3 linked regions of the Elephas maximus indicus genome follow. The protein of the gene in region 2 interacts with the protein of the main gene of each other region in a pairwise test. Links are inferred from orthologs where the notes say so. Each region holds a gene or a part of one and is shown on either strand. Other genes may lie near its edges.

Region 1 (7,897 bases), on a different chromosome or scaffold from region 2:
GCAACTATCCCACGGATTCTAAATTAAGGCTCAGAAACATTCATGATGAAGAAAATAGCCATAGCTGGAAATCAATACCTGCACTAATAATAAACCTAAAGATTTTATGATTTGAAAAATCGACTTTATCGATTCAAAATTAATTTGAGTACATTCAGTTTCTGTTTACCAAGCGCTTCCTAATATTTCAACATGCTCTAATTCTATATTTTTTTCCAAGAGGGAGTTATTATTCATTATGAAAAGCATGACATTAATGCTAATTTAAAAATTTTGCTTTTCTCTCCCCTACATTTAAAACAACAACCTATTTCCATAGTCATTACCCAGCACCTTTTCCTTAAAATATTCTAGATCCATCTCAAATAGATTAAGAAAGGCTTTTTTGTTGTTGTTGTTGTTGTTGTTTGCTTTTTAGTAATAAAAGCAAGGGCTCTTCCACTTAAATCTTTTGCTGAGATGCCAGGTGTTCTTGATTGCTGCTTGCTAAAATCCTCCTCATTAATACAGCAGAAAAAAATAATTCGAAGGGTTTAACTTGGATGCCAGGTTATGTCGATAAATCCTAAAATTTAGTTTTACAAATTAAGTAGTAAATCAGAGAATTGTAATTACTTAAATAACTTAAGCTAGCAAAAACTTTAGGACAAAATGCAGTTAGGTACTCCTGGATATACCTTCCTCAGATTTCATAAAGTGTAAATTAACCAAACTAAGGTTGTTCCAGTAATGTCATACAAGAACCAAGCTGACATCTTCACAATTTCATCCTTTTACCCTTTTAAAAATATTTCTGAAAATAATTTAAAAAATGCATTTTATAATACATACAAACCAAAAGCCCTCTGCCATCCAGTCAATTTCGATTCATAACAACCCTATAGGAAAGAGCAGAACTGCCCCATAGGGCTTCCAAGGAGCGGCTGGTGGGTTCAAACTGTCCATCTTTTGGTTAGCAGTTGAGTTCTTAACCTCTGCACCACCAGGGGTCCTTGTAATATATAAACGTATTGATATAAAACAGAGCTATGTTACTTTGACCTTTTAGATCATACAGGCTAAACAATGAGAGTTCAATAGCTCCACCATGACTTCTAGTTTAGAAGAGCATGCAAGAGCATCTTTTCAAATACCTGATTTTGATTTCAGGATCACTTGAATGGTATGTCCATCATTGGTGACTTCACAGTCTCGGCAAACCACGTAATTTGGAGAGAGGCGGACATCGAGCAGTGAGGGGTCGTATCTGGCTTCTCTTGAGTTCAGGTTAATAGGAGACTGATATTCACCATTAGCATCGGGAAACACCAAGCCCCACTCAACACCTATGGGCAAAATTAAGAACAGACTAAAGTAAAATAAGTTACAGCAAAACTTACCATAAAAACCAGGACACTGCCAAATAAAATCTGCCTGCCTACGTAGAAGGTCTATGATCCAGTCAGTGTCCCTTGGCTTTAAGAGGGTCATGACTACCAGCTCTATGAAGATGACATATGCAAGGTGTACGTGTATTTTTGCATTCATATTTCAAATGCAATAATATTATGAAACATCGCATACGAAACCCTGGATGAACAAAATAGCATATTTTTTACTTGCCCACACAGATGTAATAACTTATGACTCAACGAAATATGTCATTTTTAAATGATTAAAACCAAAAACCAAGCCAAACCCATTGTTGTTGAGCTGATTCCGATTCATAGCCACCCTACAGCACAGAGTTGAACTGCCCAACAAGGTTTCCACGGAGCTGCTGATGGATTCGAACTGCCGACCTTTACTGGTCAGCAGCCAAGCTCTTAACCACTGCTCCACCAGGGCTCCTTTCAATGATGAGAAACAAGTAACACCATAAAAGTTTCCTCTGCTCATTAGTTTAACTGTGTTCAGTACTTGGGAAATACTTTAAACACTCTGGGTGAGAGCCAAAAACTACATTTCATGTCAGTGAATAAACTCTACTTTTCATAAATGCAAATAAGAATATTTTGAAGTGTCCATATTAAAATATATACATAAACTCCATACTTTTTATAATTAAAATTCTAAGTTCTATATTTGTTTCAATGATGTAGTTTTTTTATGTAGTTAACATCAGCCCTAATGGTCGGGACACTAAATTTTTTTAAAAGTCAACCTCTTTGCCAAGCCCACTGGTTCAGTCTGAAATCTACGGCATGTTTTAGAAAGAGCTGAGCGTTACTACTGTCCTTCAGGACAAGAGCAGAGTCAGAAATACTGTGTCCTCAGAGTCCTCACGGCAAGCAGAAACGAAGAGTTTCACTCCACCACCCACTGCTAGCACTGTACTATCAAGATGTTGAGTAAAATGTAAGTAAAATGCTTTCCCCGGCTACTCAGAGGACAGAGCTCGGGGTCGTCGTGCATCTGAAACGGCAGAGCCCCTGCATTAAGGCTCGCCCTCCGGAAGGCGGCAGGTGCGACCCGCTGCCCCGAGGGAAGCCAGCCCCGCACCGGAGTCGCGGCGGCGGCGGCGGCGGGATGCCCGCCCTCCCCGGAAAGCCTTCCGCGCCAGAACGGACCGGGAGAGTCGGAAAGCTGTGGAGAAACACGTGGAAAAGAAGGGACCCGGGGGTGCTCCGAGCGCGCCACGCGGGCAGAGCGCAGAGCCCACGTTCGCGGGGAGACCCACGCGGCGCACAGCCTCTGGGGCCCCGGACAGCCGACCCACGGCCGGTTACCTTCCTCGTAGCCCCACTCCACACCCTCCTCCTCTTCCTCCTCATCCTCTTCCTTCTCGGGGAAGGCGACGGAATCTTCGATGAAGCTCAGGTCAGCCATGGGAAGCTCGGCGGGTCCCCTCGGCGTCCTCGCCGGCGCCGTCTCCGCCTCCGCAGGGCGAGCGAGGGAGCCTGCAGGCGAGCTGCGGAGGGAGCGTGAGCGCACGTGAGGGAGTGAGAGCGCGAGGGCGAGCGGGCAGGTCCGGCCGCAGTGCCGTGCGTCCTGGCGCGGAGGGCGCACCCCGACTCTCCACCGGGCGAGGGAGCGGCCGCAGCTCTGGCAGCGCGCGCCGGGCCAATTATAAACCCGGCTGGGGCGTGTCTGGCACGCGAGGACCCGCCCCCTCCGCTCGGTGGCGGGGGACCCACCACGGGTGGACAGCAGGAATCGGCGCTTGGGGCGATGGGGCCGAGGCGAGAGAAAGAGCACGACCCCACTGCTTCCTCCGCCCATCCTGCTGTCCCACAGGGGCTCCTAACCTGTCTTCCGCGCGAACTTCCAGAACCCCCCACCCCAGTACCCCGAGGTCAGCCCTCACGCCCCCCGGTGGGGGAGCAGGGAAGGAGCATTTATTGAGCACCTGCTATGTGCAGGGACTAGACCAAGGGCTTTTGCCCATATTATTGTTCATTCCTAAACCAGGAATCATCAAAAAGAAAGAAAAAGCAGGAGATGGGGGAGGAGGGAGATAGGTGGCCACAGGTAGGAGAAAACGGGGTGGGGGGTAGGAGAAAACAGGGCTAGGATACACTCCCCCCCCCCCCAAATAAAAGAGTGTTTCCGGCTCGGAAACTTTATTACAGAGTACTCGACGGCAATGGGTGGTTTCGGTTATCATTTATATTTTAACACTTACTTAGAGCACAGTGTAAACTTGAGTAAGGAGAATTTTCCAAGAAACTTGTAGTCCCTAAAAAGTAAACTTCTTAAATAAGAAAAAGTGTTTTAACTAGAGAAGCGGATATAATTTAGGGAGCTTTCTCTATGGAAAAATATTATTTCAAAGGCATGGGCGGTAAAAGGGAATAAAGAAAGGGTGTATGGTTGTAGTTTCAGAGTCTGGGGTGCTGTTACAGGCAAGCTTGCTGTGTACACAACTCCCAAGGGCCCGGTGAAATCGTGTCAACAATGAAACGCACACATTGCATAACAAACAGGAACGTTCTGGATCCGGAGATCGTACTGTAAAAATACCTCCAATGCGGTGTCAGTGGCGTCTGTCCCCTGTTCCAACGCCTTTTAAAAGTCCTAGCCAATAACCCCGAACCAGGTGATCTTATATTTTTAGGAGGTATATGTGCATAATGGAAACCCTGGTGGTATAGTGGTTAAGAGCTCGGCTGCCAGGCGCTCCGTGGAAACTCTATGGGATAGTTGTGCTGTGTTCTTTGGGGTCACTATGAGTCGGACCGGTCAGAAACGAGTTTGGGATTTTTTGTTGTTTGTTTTCGATTCGTATGTGCATAATATGCACAGATTTGGGCCTTAAGGACAGTGTGTGTTTTATTTGCTCTGCTCATGCACCTGGTGTCTGTTAGCAGTTTCAGCAGCCCATCCCTAAATCATATGGTCCTTCTGCAGGCCAAGTTCCTCAGGCAAGGACACAGCTTATCTGCGTGGGGATTTCCAGGTTCTGTGCTGCTGTCCTTCACTGCCTGCTCAAGTCTCTCCACTTTTTTTAAAAGCCGCTTCACAAGTTCTCTGGAAAGTGGGTAAAAGGAGGGAAAAAAAAAAGCTCAAGTCAATTAATTCTGCCATTTTCTAGAAGGTTCAGCAAAATAGGTGAAAACTATTGCCCAGTTTTAGCTTTGAGGATTATCTGTGGTTTTCAAGCAGTCCTGTCATTCCTCTTTCCCCAAAAGGGAAAGCTGGCCACTGCACTGAGGAGGGACCCAGTCTGAGAGGGAGGCTGAATTCACCCCTCACTCACTGCCTTCTGGGTGTTCTTTAGTGGACGTCCTTTCTCCTCTGCGCCTTAGTTAGCCTGAGATTGGCAGAAGCAGAAGTCTACCCTAAAGGTATCAGCAAACGAAAAACAAATCAACCCTTTGCAGTGTAGCCAATACCGACTCATGGTGACTGCGTGCGTTACAGAGTAAAACTCCTCCTTGGGGCTTTCTTGGCTATAATTTTTATGGAAGCAGATCTCCAGGCCTTTCTTCCATGACACCACTGGGTGGGTTTGAACTGACAACCTTTAGGTTAGTAGTCCAGTGCAAACCATTTGCACTACCCAGGAACTTGCGCTAAAGCTGTAGCTATTTAAAAAGAAAAAAAAGCACTACCCAAAACATTAATCACTTCCCACAAAGGTTCTTCTAACATTTCATTTCTCTTTCATTTGCTGCAAACTTGCTTACAATCTTGAAAAGTTTATTACAGTTTCTTCTTAGAAATCTATTCATGCATTAATCAGATGCTACAGCTAATGTACCCCATGAAAGGCAGTGGAGGACCTCAATAATAAAATCACTTTGCCACTCTGAGCTCATTGCTGTGCCCTCAGATGTGCACAGATGCTACGCTGTAGCCATGGTGTGACCAGCATTGTATTTATAATATCACAGGAGTGATAGAGACAACAAAATCACCATGGCAATAAACCTTCTTGTACACTTTTCTTTAAGTGTGCCATATTGACAGCAAGAAAGGATCAAAGATTGAATTTTGCAGTTAATAGACGATGTTGCATATATCCAACACTCTACCGCCATTCATAAATGCAATTAACTACCAGACAAACATATTTGGACGCATATTTGTTCTTTCTGAATTTTTTCGACATCATTTGTAGAGTGTCACTTCTCTATATAAACCCAGGGTAACCTGTCCAGCAACATAGAAGCCCTCCCACTGTGCATCCACATATTCAATTAACAGCCTTAATTGCTTTGAGACTATGTGCTTTGAATTTCTGCTCATTAACAACACCTTAAGACCTTCTCTTCTCACATTCCTCTATTATATTATCCTAAAGATGGAATTTCTATTTCTAGTCATTATAAGGTTTCTGTCACTATAAAACCTAAACACTCAGATAAAAGATTTAGGCCAATCCTTTGACTTACAAAATAGAAAAAGCACATTTAAATCCAATATCAGAGAATCTAAAAATAAGTATGCTCTACATTGTAAACATAGCTACTCTGCATATTCCTCTATGTAAAATTTTTAATCCATTTCAACCTAATGTCATATTAAATTCTTTAACTTCATGTCGCTCATTTACAGTGTCCGTGTAACTAACAGAGGTCAAACCACATCGGTAGAACAGCCTGTTAATACCGAACGAAATCAAACCCATTGCCATCAAGTTGATTCAGACTCACAGCTACCTACAGGACAGACCCTACAGGACTACCCCGTAGGGCTTCCACGGAGCAGCTGGTGGATTTGAACTGCCAAACTTTTGGTAAACAGCTGCCCTCTTAACCACCAAGCCACCAAGGCTCCTTGTTAAAACTAAGACCTATATAAAAAACCATACAAGCCGCTGTCGAGTCTATTCCGGCGCGTAGCAACCACATAGGACAGTAGAAGTGCCCCATAGGATTCCCAAGGCCGTAAATCTTCCTGGAAGCAGACTGTCACGTCTTTCTCCCACTGAGTGACTGGTGGGTTCTAACCGCTGACCTTTCAGTAGCATCCAAATGCTTAACCACTGAGCCACCAGGACTCCTAAGGCCCATATAACTAATTACTATTTAACACTACATTTTTTTTTTTTTTTAACCTTCCTACCTCAAAGGCAGTGGGTTTGGTTTGGTTTTGGGTACCTTCCTACCACTTGCAATCGAGTTGATTCCTACTCATAGCCACCCCATGTGTGTCAAAGTAGAACTGGGCTCCATAGGATTTACAATGGCTGATTTTTCAGAAGTAGATTGCCAGTCCTTTCTTCTGAGGTGCCTCTGGGTGGACTTGAACTTCCAATCTTTCAATTAGCAGCTGAACACATTAACCATTTGCACCACCCAGGGATTCCATTTAATACTAAGAGAATATAAATAAAAAAAATGCCTAAAAGGGACAAACTAATCCAAGTGTCCGAGGAACAAAGAGGTACTAAGATCGCTTGGCAGCACCCCATACCTACACGACTCTCTTCCGCCATCCTTCCTCACTCTTTAACATACCCTACCAAGACTTTCTTAAGGTATTGGTGAGTTTGGGCCCTAGATTAGTCATAAACAATTATCACTTTCTTCTCCTTCTGTGTACCATATGACTGGGGACAACTCAGGGGTAGAACTAAGACGCAGATCAAATGGTTTCTGTCCAGATCTTTAAGTCATGAATTTCAACAACAATCAATTGTTGTTTTCCTTACTGTGCACTGCCCTGCACTAGGCTTTCTGGGGGACCCCAGAATGGATAAAACACTGTTTGTGCCCTCAGGGAACGTACAGTCATCCTCAGGAGAAAGGTAAAGCATTAACTACAGTACAACACAAAATGAAACACAAATAGAGGTGCAAGTACCATTCCATCTAAGAAAGATGCAATTCATTCTGATGGGAATGATCATAGAAGTTTTCTTGGAAAAGATGGTATTCAAGGCAAACCAGATGTTCCGTGGCGGACTGCTTCCGTAAAGATTCCAAACCAAAAAAACCAAACCCACTGCCATCAAGTCGATTCCGACTCATAGCGACCCTACGAGACAGAGTAGAACTGCCCCAGGAGGGTTTCCAAGGCTGTAAATCTTTAGAGAAGCAGATTGCCACATCTTCTGAGGAACAGCTACTGTGTTCAAACGGCAGACCTTTCAGTTAGCAGCCGAGCGCTTTAACCACTGCGTCACCAGGGCTCCTCCTACAGGGTCGCTTTGAGTCAGAACCGAGTCGACAGCAATGGGTTTGGTTTAGATTTTTATGGATTGAATTGTGTCCCCCCAAAATATGTGTTGCAAATCCTAACCCCTATACCTGTGGCTACAATCCCAGTTGGGAATAGAGTGTTCTTTGTTGTGTTAATGAGGCCGTATCAATGTAGGGCGTGTCTTAAGCCAACCACTTTTGAGATATGAAAGAACAGATTAAGCACAGAAGCAAGCAAGCACAGAGGGGCAAAGATATATGTCATACCACATCAAAATCCCCAAGGAACAGAGGAACAGAAACTGAAAAGAGACAAAGATCTTCCTCCA
Region 2 (6,881 bases):
GGGTTTGGCCAGACAACTGGGCCAGGCCAAACAATGGGATTAGGCCAGATCACTGGGTTCTGCCAGATCACTGGGTTCTGCCAGATCACTGGGTTCTGCCAAGCAACTGGGTTCTGCCAGGTTGGTAGGGTCTGCCTAGCTGGGGGGCTCTGATGTGCCAATGGGGTCTGCCTGGCTGTCTGGTTCTGCCAGCCTGATGGGTTCTGCCAAGCCAATGGCGTCTGCCAGAGCACGTTGGGTGGTGCGCCAGGTGGGTTCTGAGTGGTCACTGGAACTGGTGCAGACCTCCAAGTACCTGAAGTCAGTGGGACCCACCTCTGATCCCCACTGCTGTTTTCTTCCACATTCAAGTTATTAATCTGCATCATCAGAGAGAAAAAAGGTCAGGGGTCACCAGATGGTTCTATGTCCTCACCCTAACACTTCTGGGAAAGCCTCCTAAACCCTCACCTGTAGTGACAGCCTGACCCACTAGCCCCAGGCTTGTCTTTCACTATCTTCCAGGCAGGAGTTTCATCTCCGAATCAGGCCAGGAACAACCCAAGGGTGGGGCCTGAGGCTTCTCCTCTTCCTGTGTCCACCACTGGCACTGCTTGTACCACCCTGGACAAGTCATATCACCTTTCTGGGACTCATCTTCCTTCTCTGTAAAACTGGGACTATAATCCCTAGCTGATAAAGAGTTACCTTCAAGATTTAATTGAGATAATTTGTATAAATGTGGCTAGTTCTAGGCCTAACACATGGTAGCTACTATCAAAACACAAATAAAATTATATCCATGTTGTAAGCATTGTCTTATCTCATCAGTCTGTGGACACTCTGAGGAAAGAAACTATCACATTTACCTCAATATCCTCTACAATCTAACAGAATACAGGCAATTACATTTTTTGTTTATAACAAATGAACAATCACAAAGAAGAAAGGAGAGAGTCCAAACCAAAGTGGACCTAGCAGGGATCTCACCTTACGGGTCCTCTTGCCCCGAATTATAGTCCGGGACTCCAGATTCTGAGCCTGGGAACCATCTGCTGATGCCTGTGCAGCTGCACCCTCAGGTTCAGAGATACCTGGGTTGGTCTCTATGTCAGCTTGGGAAGTAGCCATCTTGGCCTGGTTAACATTCTGGGTCTGGGTATCAGCTGTTGAGGCCTTGGTGGTATCATTCCAATCCTTGAAGGCTGTCCTAGTTTGGGAGTTGGTCATCTCACTGGCATTGGGAGACTGAGAGAAATTGTAGGTGGCATTTGGACCCACCGTGGTAGTGGCATTCTGGGCTTTAAAACCCATCTCGGATTTGTTGGTGGTTGCTGCCTGGGAAAAATCATAGGCAACATTTGGGCCCTTTGTGGTGGCATTCTGGGGCTTAAAGCTTGCCTTAGGTTGGGTGTTGGGCATTTCCTTGGCATTAACAGCCTGAGAGAAATCATAGGCACCATTTGGGCCTTTTGTGGTGGCATTCTGGGCCTTAAGGGCTGTTTTAGGCCTAGTGGCAGCTGCTACAACATGAATGTCAGTCATCTCCTTGGCAGACGGAGGTTGTGAACTCGAGGGGCTTGCATTCAGCCTGCTGACAGCTGCTGTGGCCTGGTTGGTAGGTGGAGCCTCCGAAATCTGGATCGCCTCCATAAGGGTCTGCATAAGCAAGGCACTGTCTTCCATAGAGGCTTCAGTCTGTAAATACGGGGTGGGGGGAGGGGATTAAATCTCTGGGCCTCTGAAGGAGGAGTGGGAGGGTGGGAGGAGCAGACAGGGGAGGTGCAGGTGGCCAGCTGGTGCAAAAGGAGGAGGGCTGAGGTGGAGACCTAGGGGGCCTGACAGGAGCAGAACCACAACAAAAGTGGTGGTGGTAGGGGCGGAGTGAGAATGAGGGTGAAGCCTACAGTAGGACTTCAGGGTCGGAGGTAGAGTGAGTTGAGGAGAATAAGGAAGGGTCGCAGGGAGTGGGGAATGCAGGAGACAGGGGTGGTGGAGGTGGAGGACGGTCTTGGGGGAGGCGGAGGCAGACTGCTCTACAAGCATCAGGACTCCAGAAAAAAATGGTTCCTCATCCAACCTGCAGTCTCTGGGCAGACTGCCCTGACTATTAACAGGGTCTCCCCTTTCTCTGAGCAGGGACTGATGGCTGAAAAGGAACGCCCCCCCCCCCCAATAACCGATAAGAATTTGAAAGTCAACAGAGTCTAGGCACAAAGAGGGCAAAATCAGATTCAGGCATTTGGGTGGCCAAAGGGGCCCAGGGAGAACTGGCGGCTGGGGAAATGGTGGGTTAGGGAGCTGAAATCTCACCTGGAAGCCGAGGAGGCCTGCACCACAGTCCATTTTCTGAGCCATGGCTCCAGTCCCTCTGGCAAGAGTGGAGCCTGGGGGGGGGTTGTGGGGGAGGAGCTGGGGGTTAAACTGGAGACGGCAAATAGGAAGGTCCGAATTGAGGGAAAGGGTCTGTGGTTTGATTACGGGGGCGGATGAAGTGCCGAATATGAGGGGAACCGGCCAGATCCGGGCGGGAAAAGTGAACTGAGTGTCCAGATGGAAATCCCGAGAAACTACTGAAGGGATTCCGGTTGCAGATGAGCGTTTTGAATTCGGGATCACATCGGGATTTGGGAAGTTGAATGGAGGTTTCGAATTAGAGGGAATCGTGTTACAGTAGAGATCGAGGTCGAGAAATCTGTGGAGATTTCGAGCGATGGGAGGGACTGGACAGGGGTTCAGATAGCGAACAGGGCTTCTGAGTCAGGGAGGATGGGGTGGGGAATGTGAATCGAGGTTTGAGGAAGGGGTTCAGAATCCGGGATAAGATGATAAAAAAAAATGGGGGCCCGCACCAGGGGGCAGATGCCCTGTCTGGGGGCTAATTCTCACCTTGCCTCAGGCCCCAACCCCAACCCCCTCGTTGTCTCCCTTCTTCAAGACTCAGAGGATCTGGATTGCAGTGCTCGGCTCTCAGCAGCCGCACCCTCTCCCTGTCCAGGAGAAAATGCCAGCGCGGCAGCTTGGGCGACCCCGCCTCTTGGCCTAATATACCACCCACCGCCTCAGGTCGTTGTGCGCATGCGCAAACGCTGAACAACCAACTAGAGTCCCGCCCGCTTTTCCAACAAAAGCTTCATCCTGAAAATCAAGATGCGCATGTGCACTGGAAGGCAGTCCCGCCCCTTTGCCAACACACCACTCCACCACCAACCAGATCGACAGTATACAACGATCCCTCCCTTTACGCTACATCCCATCCCTCAGCAGATGCGCAGTGCCTCTTGGCCCCACCCCTTGCCCCACACACCAACCCCCTACCTTTTCCGCAATGCGTCTGTGTTCTATCCCACCCCTCTCAAGGCTCCTCCTCTCAGGTCCGCGTGAATCTCCACCCCCTTGCCCGGCGCTCCTTAGGTTACTATTGATGAGGTCTCTTCTATGTGAGGTCTCTAATTGCGACAAGTGCTAGACCCAGAAAAAGGAATGGCCAGAAAGGATACACTACTGGGGGAAGCAGTTATCTGTGCCTGCCACGTGACTCTACATGGCTTCCTTACTAGCTCCCAGACTAATGTAGAACATTAGTTTCTTCCCTGCCATTTTGCGCAGCCCCAGCTGGATTGTGTGTGTGTGTGTGCGCGCGCGCGCGCGCGTGTGTGTGTGTGTGTGTGTGTGTGTGTGTAGGGGCGAGGGAGGGGCAAGCTTGTACAACACAGCAGGATCTGTCCGGGGGCTTGTTTTCCTCTCGCAGCTGCCCTAGGTGGTGGATGTCAGCATCCCAATTTTACAGATAAGGAAGTTGAGCTACAGACAAGGTGAATGAACTACACAAGGCCACAGTAAACACAAAATTTGTGCCTGGGTCTTTCAGACTCCAACGCCATGTGCCGCTGGTTGGGGGTGACAGCCCCCAATATCTGTCCCAAAAAGCCAAGCTTTGTGTTCCTGGTGGTCCAAGCTCATGCTCTGCCTTCAGGAAAATTCAGGTAGAGAACCCAGCCCCGCCCCCTGACTGCTCTATGTGGGTCCATTCAGATGTGGGAATTGCTCCAAGGGAATAGCTCCACTGTCAGGTCTCTTAGTTGTGAGTGGCATGAACACATTGTCCCAGAGGCCTCCCTGGTGCTCACTGGAGCAGCCAGGACAATCAGGCCCTTGTGCGTCTGAGCCATGGGAAACCCTAACCTAGTGTAAACCCTGGTTCAGAGTAAATGTTTGTTCTGGTTCCTTCCAGGGCTGGGGCCTGGGGCAGCTCTGGTCTCATGGAATGAAGCTGGGCTGGGCTTCAAAATTCCTGGGATGAAGTGCTGTGCCTGTCTGTCACTGGCTGTGTGAGGCCGCTCAGGTCACTCAACCTCTCTGAACCCCAGTTTCTAAATATGTAGAAATGGGAGACACAAGAACACACATGCCGCTGTGCTTCCTGGATGACAGAGAAACTCAAAAAGGCAGAAATAATAGACAGATGTGATGTAACTCAAATTAAACACCTTCCCAAAATCCAAGCCAGATCTTTGTTTTTCACATTTGTTCTGGCATGAATTCCTGCCAGATGCCTGCATATGAAAGGAAACTAATGCTCGGAAGGACAGCAACATTTGATCCCCAAGGGCCAATATCAATTCTGCCTGGTTGGATGACTTTCCTCATCTGTTGCATAGCAACCTCCTCTGTCAGCTGCCTGTTTTTCTTCAGCACTTCCTCTGTAAAGTGTCTGCAGTGGGACGTGATCAGACTCAGAAAAAGGGGTTTGAAACACCATTTTATATGTTTTCTGCCTCCAAATCTGTATCCACTCCTGACTTGGCCTATGAATTCTACATTCGTAATTCAACTGCCTACCTTACTCCTTCTATTGGATATTTCTTGGTATCCTCAAAATTGGCATGTCCCAAACTGATTCCTTTGTATATAGCCCCCTCCCCACCAACACTGTGTGCTTCTCTTCTGTTCATCTCTTTCTCTCCCCATCAGAATGTAAGCCCTTTAGGGAGATGGATTTTTGTTTGTTTCATTCATTGTTGCATCCCCAGCTCCTAGAAGGATACCTGGCATATTTACATGCTCAGTCAGTGAATCCCACCATCCAACTTGTTCAAGCAAGAAATCTGAGAGACATTCTTTTTTCTTTTCTGTATAAATTCACTTATTCTTTCCTCATTATATAAATAATGGGTGGTCATCATTAAAAATTTGAACATTACCTAAATATCTTAGAAATTGAGTAAACATCACTCCAAATTTCACCACCTTGAGATAACTGCTATTAAGATTTTTATGCAACCCTTTCATACGTCACTATATGTATACATATCTATACATGCATGTCTATATATTCTTACATAAATGGCATTATACAGGCTATGAATATTTTAAATTGCCTTCTTTTGTTTATTGCCTCCTACACTTGTCTTTCATCTCTACCATTACCTGCCAGTCATGCATTTCTTAAAATTTATTTTGTTGTTCTGTTGAGAGTATGTACAGCAAAACATACATCAATTCAACATTTTCTACATGTGCAATTCAGTGACTCTGATACATTCTTTGAGTTGTGCAATCATTCTCATCCTCCTTTTCAAACATGCATTTTAACAAGCAATTTTATATCCATTCATGCTCAAAAGTAATTTTTTTGTTTTACAAATATTAAGATCATATTATATACACTTTATGCATCTGATTTATCTTACTAATCCCCAGTCTACTTTTGATCCATTAAATTGATGCATAATATTCCATGATGTGGATGTACCACAAAGTATTAAACTGTTCAGTGCTTGGTATTGTGAGAATTTGCCAATTTTTTGCCAATTTGATGTGTATGTATTGGTATCTCCTTGTGTTTTAATTACATTTCTGATAAGTAATGTGTTGAAACACATTTCCATATATTAATGAACCTACCGTATTTCTTTTGTAAAGTGCCTGTGCAAATCTTTTGACCATTTTTCTTTTGGGTTGCCTGTCTTTATCTTATTGATTTGTAGGAGGTCTTTATACAGACCTACAGGTACTTATCGAAAACCCCTGGGGTCATCTCTATTACAAAGTTTTTTTTTTCACATTTTAGTAAGGTAATACAGCATGTACTCTATACTACACAATAGCTCCAACTGCAAAACCCAGATAGTCGTTTCTTCATATTCCCTTGGCAACTAAGAAAATGTGATCTAGGATTTACCAGTACATCAGGGGCCCCCAGGACCACGCTTATGTTCAATGATTCAATAGAAGGACTCAAGGAACTAAAAAATCTGTTAAACTCATGGTTATGGTTTATTACAGTGAAAGGATACAGATTAAAATCAGCAAAGGTAAAAGGCCCATAGGGGAGAGTCCAGAGACAAGGCATAAGCTTCCAGTTGTCCTTTCCCAGTGGAGTTGTATGGATAGCACTTAATTTTCCCAGCAATGATGTGTGACAATACTTAATGGAGTTTCGTCAACTACTAAAGCTCATCTGATCCTTGGTCTCCAGGGTTTCTACTGGGGATCGGTCATATAGGCATGGGGTGCCCATGTGGCTGACCTTAATTACTCAGTCTCCAGCCCCTCCAGAGGTCAAACTGATATTGCCTGGCTGAAAGTCCCCTCCATAAATTACATTGCTGGAATAAACTATCTGCCATGGCCCAAGACCCCAGGTGAACAAAGACACTCATCAGGCAGGCTATTTCAAGGGTTTAGACATTGCCTCCCAGAAGCTGGTCAAAGGCCAGACCTTTCTTCAGAATGCATGGGATTTGAACACCCTGGATCTGATATGTCAAAACTTTACTGCATAACTCCAGCTAACACTTTATCTGGAAGGAATGATTCAAAGATGCAAAGACAGGTAATTTATTGTCATAGTTGTGTGGTAGTAGAAGCAGCCACAAGCAAATCCAGGTTTTAGGGGC
Region 3 (7,878 bases), on a different chromosome or scaffold from region 2:
CCACCTCCCCCTACCAAAAAGAAAAAATGTGTTGTAATTCTTAACCTCTATGGCTGTGATTACTATCCCATTTGGGAATGGGTTGTCTTTGTTACGTTAATGAGGCAGGATTAGTGGAGGGTGTATTTTGGGCCAATCTCTTTTGGGATATAAAAGAGATTAAACAAGCAAACTAAGAAACAGAGATGGGGGAAGAGAGATGCTAAGCCACAGAAGATGGCTCAGGAGCAGAAGCTCAAAGAGACAAGGAACTTCCTCCAGAGCTGACAGAGAGAGGAAGACTTCCCTAAAAACAGCACCCTGAATTCAGACTTCTAGACTCCTAAGTTGTGAGAAAATAAATTTCTATTTGTTAAAGCCAACAATTTATGGTATTTCTGTTGTAGCAGCACTAGATAACTAAGACAACCCTTATTGAGATGGATTGACACAGTGGCTGCAACCGTGGACTCAAACATAGCAATAACGGTGAGGATGATGCAGGATGGGGCAGTGTTTCGTTCTGTTGTACAGGGGGTCTCTATGAGTCAGAACCAACTTGATGGCACCTAGCAACAACATACATCAACAGGAGTCATAGCAGAAGATAAGAAAGATTGGAAAAATGAGCACCATTGCCCAGAAGTCACACTTATCACTTCTGCTAACATTTCATTTGCTCCCAGCCAAAAGGGCTCGGATATTTAGGGGAAAAAATGGAATATTGGGTAAGCATTATTGTGTGGCACTTGAGTTATCTACATTATGAGTGCTGGTCTCACAGTTCTTTTCCACAGGTAAGATTCCTCCTTCTCCTTCCACTTAATTAAGAACCATTCATCAATTACTTAGGATAGATGAGCTTCAATTCTTTAGAAGCAAGTTTTGTTGCAGAGATGAAGACAAGGAGGAGACAACCACCTCCCTTGGTGTCCCTGAAGCACTTCGCCCTTTTTTTGGGAGATGGTACTTCACTCCCCTTTGCTTTCCTAACATTGAACATAGCGCCTGGCACATTGTAACAGCTCACTGAGTTTGTGTGGAATTTCACGTTGGAGCATTTCAGGTGAAAAGTTTATAGACTTCCATGGCATTCTTCTGTCATAAGGAGTTTTTTTGGTTGTTGTTTTGTTTTTGTAACTCCTTCAATTCAGTTTAATAAAATCAAGAAAACACACGTAAATTCTGAGACAAAAGAGAAAGAACCACTTCAATGTACAATATAATCACCTTTGCTGTTTTAACTGTACCACAACCAGTCCCACACCTAACCAAATCGTTATCTGTACTGCCAAACAAGAAATAAACTCAAAGCTTTCGAAGAGTATGAAGAAATGCATGAAGATTTATGTTATTCAACAACAGTAAAGGGATTTGACAAAATGCTTTAAGAGGCTCAGTTATAATCTGTACTCTAGTATTTACAATGTTTTGCTTCTTTGCTTCTGTTCTCTACCCTTGGGGCCATCTTAAATGGCACTGTCAGTTTTATCTTCTTTGTATATTACTTTCATAAAGTCTCTCTCCTGTTCAAAACTCAGGACTAAACTCCTCAATTCTGGTACTTTTGGCTCTACGGTCATGTAAGTTTTCTTTTAAATCAAGATTCCCAAATGAGCCTTCTGCTGAAGTCAAGGCTGCACGTATTTGCTAACAACTCACCTACTACCTGGAAGGTCACATCCCTTCTTTCATATCTACTGAAATTTTGCCCATTGCTCAGGCCCGAATTGGGCCTCACCTACTTGAAGGCCTTCCTGAATATTTCTACTCAGACCTGAGATCTTGAAGCATCTATGGTCTGTAACAGTTATCTGGGCATCAAGAAGAGCTCATAGTTTTAACTTAAATGTTTTGAGACTGATTTTTCTCCCAGCCAGTAGGGTCGCTATGAGTTGGAACTGACTTGACGGCACTGGGTTGGGTCAGTCTGAGCTTCTTCAAGGGGCTCTATTTTATTATATTTCTCAAAATGGATTAATAGAAGGCACTCAAGAAATATTTAGTGCATGCCTACTGTGCGTTTAGGCTTTGTAGACGTGCCACTAGGTATTATAAGTACTAGCTGAATTAATGTTTGAAGAATTTTAAGGTGCTATATTTTTTTATTTTAGGACTATATGTTGGGCTAGATACTAAAGTGGTATCACTGCCTATTGCCATTCTAAATCCAAGTTTTAATATAATTAATGTATTCATATTTATCAATATCCTCCTATACTTTTATATTGTAGTTTTAATGAAAATATCATTTTTGAAAATATTAATGCTAGATTTTTTTTTGAGAATTTATTCTTAACATTACCTACTTAGTGATTCTGCTTTATATGCCAATATGGTGTTTTGTTTGGTCATTAGCGGGTCTGGATTTCCTAATCCACAAATATATACAAAATTTAGGTACAAAGATGATTCTAATTTTCTCTTACATCTTTAATAGATGGATCGTCTCTTATGCTAGGTATGGTAATGTACAAAAATATCCAATTCATTTATAAATTACAGTATTATTAAATTTGCTTTAATAAGTCCACGTTAAAGCAAAACAATAACAAATCACAGCTTCTTAGAGTAGAAAACAATTTATGATTAGTCTTATCACCTTGTTCCCTTGACCTTTCAGAAATCCACCGATCATCTGAGGATGCTCTTTCAACTGCTCCCTAATGAGGAAAATATCTTCTGAAAATTCCCCCTCCTGTCACCCTTAGATCATGCCTACATCTTCTCTGGCTTTCCTTTGACACTTGCTCCTTTAAAACCAGCAAAAAACGGGAAAAGGTTCTTAACTCACACATCTCTAACTTTGTCGTAAAATCCTTTGTCAGTTTACCCTGTGTTCTTGAGTGGTTCTCCGTTTCTTTTTCCAGCGAATTTCACAGTTGTCTTGTAGCCTGATTTACCAGTTTCGTTCCCGCTTTATCAGTTTTGTGATTCTTTGTACAGATTAATAACCATGAAAAAGCCTAAAGTAGGCACTTTCAGACTAAATCAGAGGAGCCTTTTCCCGTAAAGCAACCTGGTGCTTCACAAAATTTAAGGCAGAAGAATGAGTGATAGAGCAGGCACCAATAGGAAGTGGAGAAGAGTATTTTGTTGGAGTTTGCAATCCAATCCTTGGGAGCCAGAGGTGGGAATTTTAAAGGGGTTGTCTTTTCCTTGGAATTTTCTTAAAGTGGTATCGCTGCCTGCTGATGTGAAAGTTTGCAAAATCGCTAACTTAAGTTAGAGGGGTCTTCCTCCCTTGTTTTAAGTAAGGCAAAATGTGAAAACTGATTCTTTATATAATGAGAAGACTTTCATTAATGGTCATAGAATACTATATTATCAATTATCACTTGGTTACTTTTGTGTCAATTGAGGGGGGGTGTTAAAAGTTATTTAAAAAAAATTTTTAAGATGGTACATTTTTCAAGACCAAGTATCATATACTAAATTGCTCCACTGAAAAAAATTTTTTGAAGAAATGAAAACCAAAGAGGCAGACATTGATCAGCACGTTTAAAAAAAAAAAAATTGTTGTTCTATTGTTAATCCTTTTTTGTGACTTCTGTATTAGGAGCAGGTTTTATTATTTTGGCTGATCATTAATATCCTAAGAATTTGTTTTTACACACGCTTTAGGTTTCTTCATTTTAATCCTAGCAAAAAATGTCTACCCCAACCAAAAAAAAAAAAAACACTTAGAACTATATGACATTTACTATCCTGTATACTTAAGACCAGATTTAATTGGTAATTTATAACTAACAACGTGTTTTGGAAGTTTTTAAAAAATATAATTCTCCTTTCTAGGTAATTCATATCTAAGAGTAATTAAGCCAAACTGAAAATAGTTAATTATAAAGTTGCTTTACAATGAGGCTCTAGAAAATTACCAAAATCAAGCTTTTCAAAGACCAATAAACAACTGCAGTTTTAAGGGAGGACACTTTTTAAAACAATTTTCACTTCATCATAAAATTGTTACATTAACAAGCGTGGTATTTTAAAAATGTGTGTATGTGTTTTAATATTCCAGAACAATGCTTGGTTGTTGTTTTCAAAGCAGTTTGAAGCCGTCTTCCTTTGATGTCTCTTTCCACTGACACAGGAAAATTGATTCTTGAAGTGATATTTATTGACGGACTACCCAGTCATGCTAGGGACTTCCATAATACGTAACTCACTACACATCTTCGGTGTTTCAAGGGCAGTGACTGGGTTATTTCATCTTTGGAACCTGGTACTCACCAAAAAAACCAAAACCAAACCCGTTGCCACCGAGTCTTTAAATCCGGTGCTGCCCTAGGCCACGTTACAGAAACCCACCGGGCCTCAGGTTTTCACCAGTCGAAAGGGGATAATAGCACCCGTGGGAAGGGGCTGTTGTGAGGGGTAAAAGATAGCCCACGCACAGCTCAACATCCGGTGTTATTATTGTTGCAATTCCTTAACGTATGCACTGGGCGAGAGCACGAGTGCCTGAATGAACGCATGAATGAAAGAAAAAGTTAACTATTGCCGGATCTTGGGGCTGGAAAAGGTTAAATTACAACTTCAGAAAAACAAAAACCCGCTACCCCAAGAAGCCGCCAGGCCGGAGCCGGAAGCGCCGGCAGGGGGCGGGACCAGTGTGGAGGAAGCCGCGCTCTCGGCCAATAGACACATCTCGTGGAAAACGTGCTTCTCGTCCCACCTATCGCGAATCCGCACGAACGGGGGCAAGTTATCGCGAGGTTCCGCTCTCCTCTCCACGGCTCCCACTTCCCTCACTCCCTGAGGTGCGGGTTCCGCCCTGTGCTGCCCGGCGCCCCGCCCCACCCTCGCCCCGCCCCTCCCGGCGCCCGGGGCCCCGCCCCCGAGGCCCCGCCCCTCTCCCGCGGGCCCTCGGCTTGCCGTCCAGTGTCTCCTGCGCTCGGGAGCGCTGGCTCCGCCGGCGCCCAGGTGAGTGTGGCTACCTGCCGTGTCGGGTGGCTCACGTGGCGGGGCCCTCCGGCCCGACTCCCGGCGGGGCTGCCCCGGGCCACGTTGGGGAAGCCGAGTGGGCCGCGAGGAGTGGGACCCCGGCCCAAACGGGCCGGTCCGGGCCTCGGGTCGCTGCGATCGCTCAGGCCTCCCGTCCCGCCGCGCCCCGCCGCCCCCTCGGACCCGAGGAGCCCGACACCGGGGTCTGAGATCCCTGCCAGTGGGCGCGCTGCTTCCAAACTGTCGTTTGCTTTCCAAACGGCGTCCGTGCTGGGCTCACTCGGGCTGAACGGCATTTGTTTCGCCTAAGACTTCTGCTAGCCGTTGCCAGTACTGCGAAAACAGCCTTTGAAAAAGGCTTTTCATATACGGTTTATAATTCTCTCATCTCCGATATTAGAACATTGTACTGGGTAGCCACTGCATTAAGCACGGGGAAGTCAGTCTTAGAAACTCCTTCCCTTTAGAACATTGCTGCTTAAAATTGTGTAGACTTTTTTTTGAGATGAAGAGCTTTGCTTTTCGAATAACAAGGTGGTGTTTGCCGGGGTAATCTCGTGTGGAGGTGCGCTTGTGTACAGTTGATATGAAATGTACCATTTACCTTAGCTGTAGGTAGGAGGCGGTGAAGTCCATTGTGTACGAAAATTATCCTCTTAAAGGCTGTATATTGCCAGTGAATGCATATTGGAAAATCGTTAGCCTTGTTTATTGTTAGCAGCTTTCAGATTTCATTTGTATGGGTTTTATCTCCCAAACTGCCTTTGTAGCAAGATACGTATTAACAGGGTGTGATGTTTCTGAGATAACCAGTTCAGTTCAGAGGATTCAAAAGGAAAAGGGTCAAAAAAAAACTAAAAAACTAGTGCCATACAGTGAAATATCTTATTGAATCTTCCGTCAGTAACTGTGGATGTTGTTTTTGCTTTCTAGCTTTACATTTGTGTAAGCTTTGCCCACCACATAAATGATTATAGGAACAAGCTCTGTGGTTGCATTTTGCAGCAATAAAGTGCATGAAAGGCTGCAAGGGAGGGTAGGACACAGGCCTTGGAGTCAGCTTCTTTAAGTTTGAACTGGCAAGTTACTCATCCTGTGAGAATCTCAGTGCCTTCACCTATGAAGTGGGTTAAGTAATGTGTATTGCAATGCTGTGTGTAACGCGGTGGCTATTAGACGTGCTTATGGCATGTCGCAAGCTTGCAGTAAGCAATAAACAGATACACCAATAAATGCATATTATGAGTGGTGAGGAGTCCTACCAAAAAGATCCAAAGCAAAACAGAACAGGTTGCCCTGAAAGAATAATAGAGGAACACTTCAGTCCAAACACAAGGTGGCCAGTTGCTATCCAGTTGACCCTAACCCATGGTGACCCCTGTGTGCTGTCAGAGTAGAATTGTGCTCCATTGGGTTCTCAGTGGCTGATTTTTCAGAAGTAGATTGCCAGGCCTTTCTTCCCAGGCACCTCTGGTGGACTTGTACTTCCAACCTTTTGTATGCCGGCTGAGCATGTTAACTGTTTGCCACCCGGGGACTCCATAGTTTAGGTGGAAGCTAAGTGTTGCTGAAACCCAAAGTACAGAATAGTGCTTTCCAGGTTAAGAGAACAGCAAGTGCTGTGGAAGGTTTGGCATTTCAAGGACTAGGGAATCCCAGGAGCTTGGAGAGAGATAAGACTGGGAGAGAGCTTCTGGATAAGGCTGGAGAAGTGGGTGAGGCTTATTGTGAAGAGCCCTCAGGGTTTTTCTAATAGTTTGATTTTCTAGTTGAGAAGTTTTTAAAGAGTTTATTTAGTAGAATGTGTGAGTCAGAATCAACTCTGTGGCAGTGGGTTTGGTTTTGGTTTTGGAGCGTATAGGTGAGTATGCCTGAGAGAGAGAGAGCGCGAGAGACAATTCACTGTTGGAAAGTGGCTAGGGTGAAAACAGAAAACCAAACCAGTTGCCATTAGTCAGTTCTGACTCACGGTGACCCCATGTGCTACATAGTAGAAATGAGCTCCATACGGTTTTCTTCGCCTTAATCTTTACAGAGCCGCTGGGTGGGTTTGGACTGCCAACCTTTTGGTTAGTATTCGAGGGCAAATCAAGCGCAGTTTTCACCACCCAGGGACCTCATAGTAGAAGCAGGGAGATCAGTAATACAGTTGGCCAGGCAAAAGAGGACATTGGTTTGGGGTTTTGCTAGATGGAAAGATGTGGGTGGATTTGACATGTACTTTGAAGTTCCAAACCACGGGCCCTGTGATGGATTGGAAGTGGCAAGACGTGGCATGACTTCCAGGTTCCGGGATTGAGCAGTTGGGTGGATGGAGGTGTGTGCCATTTACTGAGATGGGAAAAATAGGGGATGGGGCAGGGGGAGGATTCAGATGGGTGATGAAAATCAAAACCTACCTTTTGAATGTGTTAATTTTGAGATGTTTGTGAGCCGCCTAAGCTGTTTCCAGTTTAGGACTTAAGTGAGTAATTACCTTGGACGCTTCCCTTTTCCCACAGTCATTGATAATGTCTCTAGTGTTACAGGTACAAGAGTTAAGGCGTAGAGAGACTGAGTGTCTTGCTCAGAGTCACATGTCTCCTAAAAAAACCAGTGAACGAGTAGGTAGCAGAACTTATGGGAAAGTACTGTATTCTTATGTTGCATTGGGGGTATTACTGAATATGCCATGTTCTCTGTCCTTTTAAATAAAATACAGGTGCTTTCTTATTAGCTAGAAATTAGAGTTTGGAAATAATAGAAAACAAAAAGTTACAAAACTCTGCTTTTTGAAAGCTATTGTTATGACATTTTGTAGTATATAATTTGGTGAAAGTAATTTTTCTTAAGGAAAAAAATTCTTTAAAAGGTGCTTTCATTAAAGAGTTTGGGAAAGAGTGCCCAGGAAAGCAGAGAGTGGATTTTTGAACAAAGCTCAGTTTCATTGTGGTTGCTTGAGCATTTCTTTAG

The links. The genes of interacting proteins can lie anywhere in the genome.
Region 1: the proteins of MAGED1 (region 2) and CA8 interact in binary tests that used the Homo sapiens proteins (3 or more experiments, as listed by UniProt). The two-hybrid records come from large-scale screens. The link is inferred for Elephas maximus indicus from reciprocal best matches to the Homo sapiens genes MAGED1 and CA8.
Region 3: the proteins of MAGED1 (region 2) and TTC23 interact in binary tests that used the Homo sapiens proteins (3 or more experiments, as listed by UniProt). The two-hybrid records come from large-scale screens. The link is inferred for Elephas maximus indicus from reciprocal best matches to the Homo sapiens genes MAGED1 and TTC23.

The regions. Positions count from the first base shown.
Region 1 is NC_064833.1:83,388,267-83,396,163, reverse strand, and holds the start of CA8 (carbonic anhydrase-related protein), read right to left. Parts: upstream 3,011-7,897; 5' UTR 2,809-3,010; coding exon 2,709-2,808; intron 1,326-2,708; coding exon 1,134-1,325; intron 1-1,133. UniProt on the Homo sapiens protein: Does not have a carbonic anhydrase catalytic activity.
Region 2 is NC_064846.1:116,594,283-116,601,163, forward strand, and holds the start of MAGED1 (melanoma-associated antigen D1), read right to left. Parts: upstream 3,019-6,881; 5' UTR 2,869-3,018; intron 2,367-2,868; 5' UTR 2,338-2,366; coding exon 2,293-2,337; intron 1,678-2,292; coding exon 970-1,677; intron 360-969; coding exon 1-359. UniProt on the Homo sapiens protein: Involved in the apoptotic response after nerve growth factor (NGF) binding in neuronal cells. Inhibits cell cycle progression, and facilitates NGFR-mediated apoptosis. May act as a regulator of the function of DLX family members.
Region 3 is NC_064831.1:90,663,402-90,671,279, forward strand, and holds the start of TTC23 (tetratricopeptide repeat protein 23), read right to left. Parts: upstream 3,011-7,878; 5' UTR 2,813-3,010; exon of another isoform or gene 2,778-2,812; coding exon of another isoform or gene 2,774-2,777; exon of another isoform or gene 2,582-2,773; intron 1-2,581. UniProt on the Homo sapiens protein: Participates positively in the ciliary Hedgehog (Hh) signaling.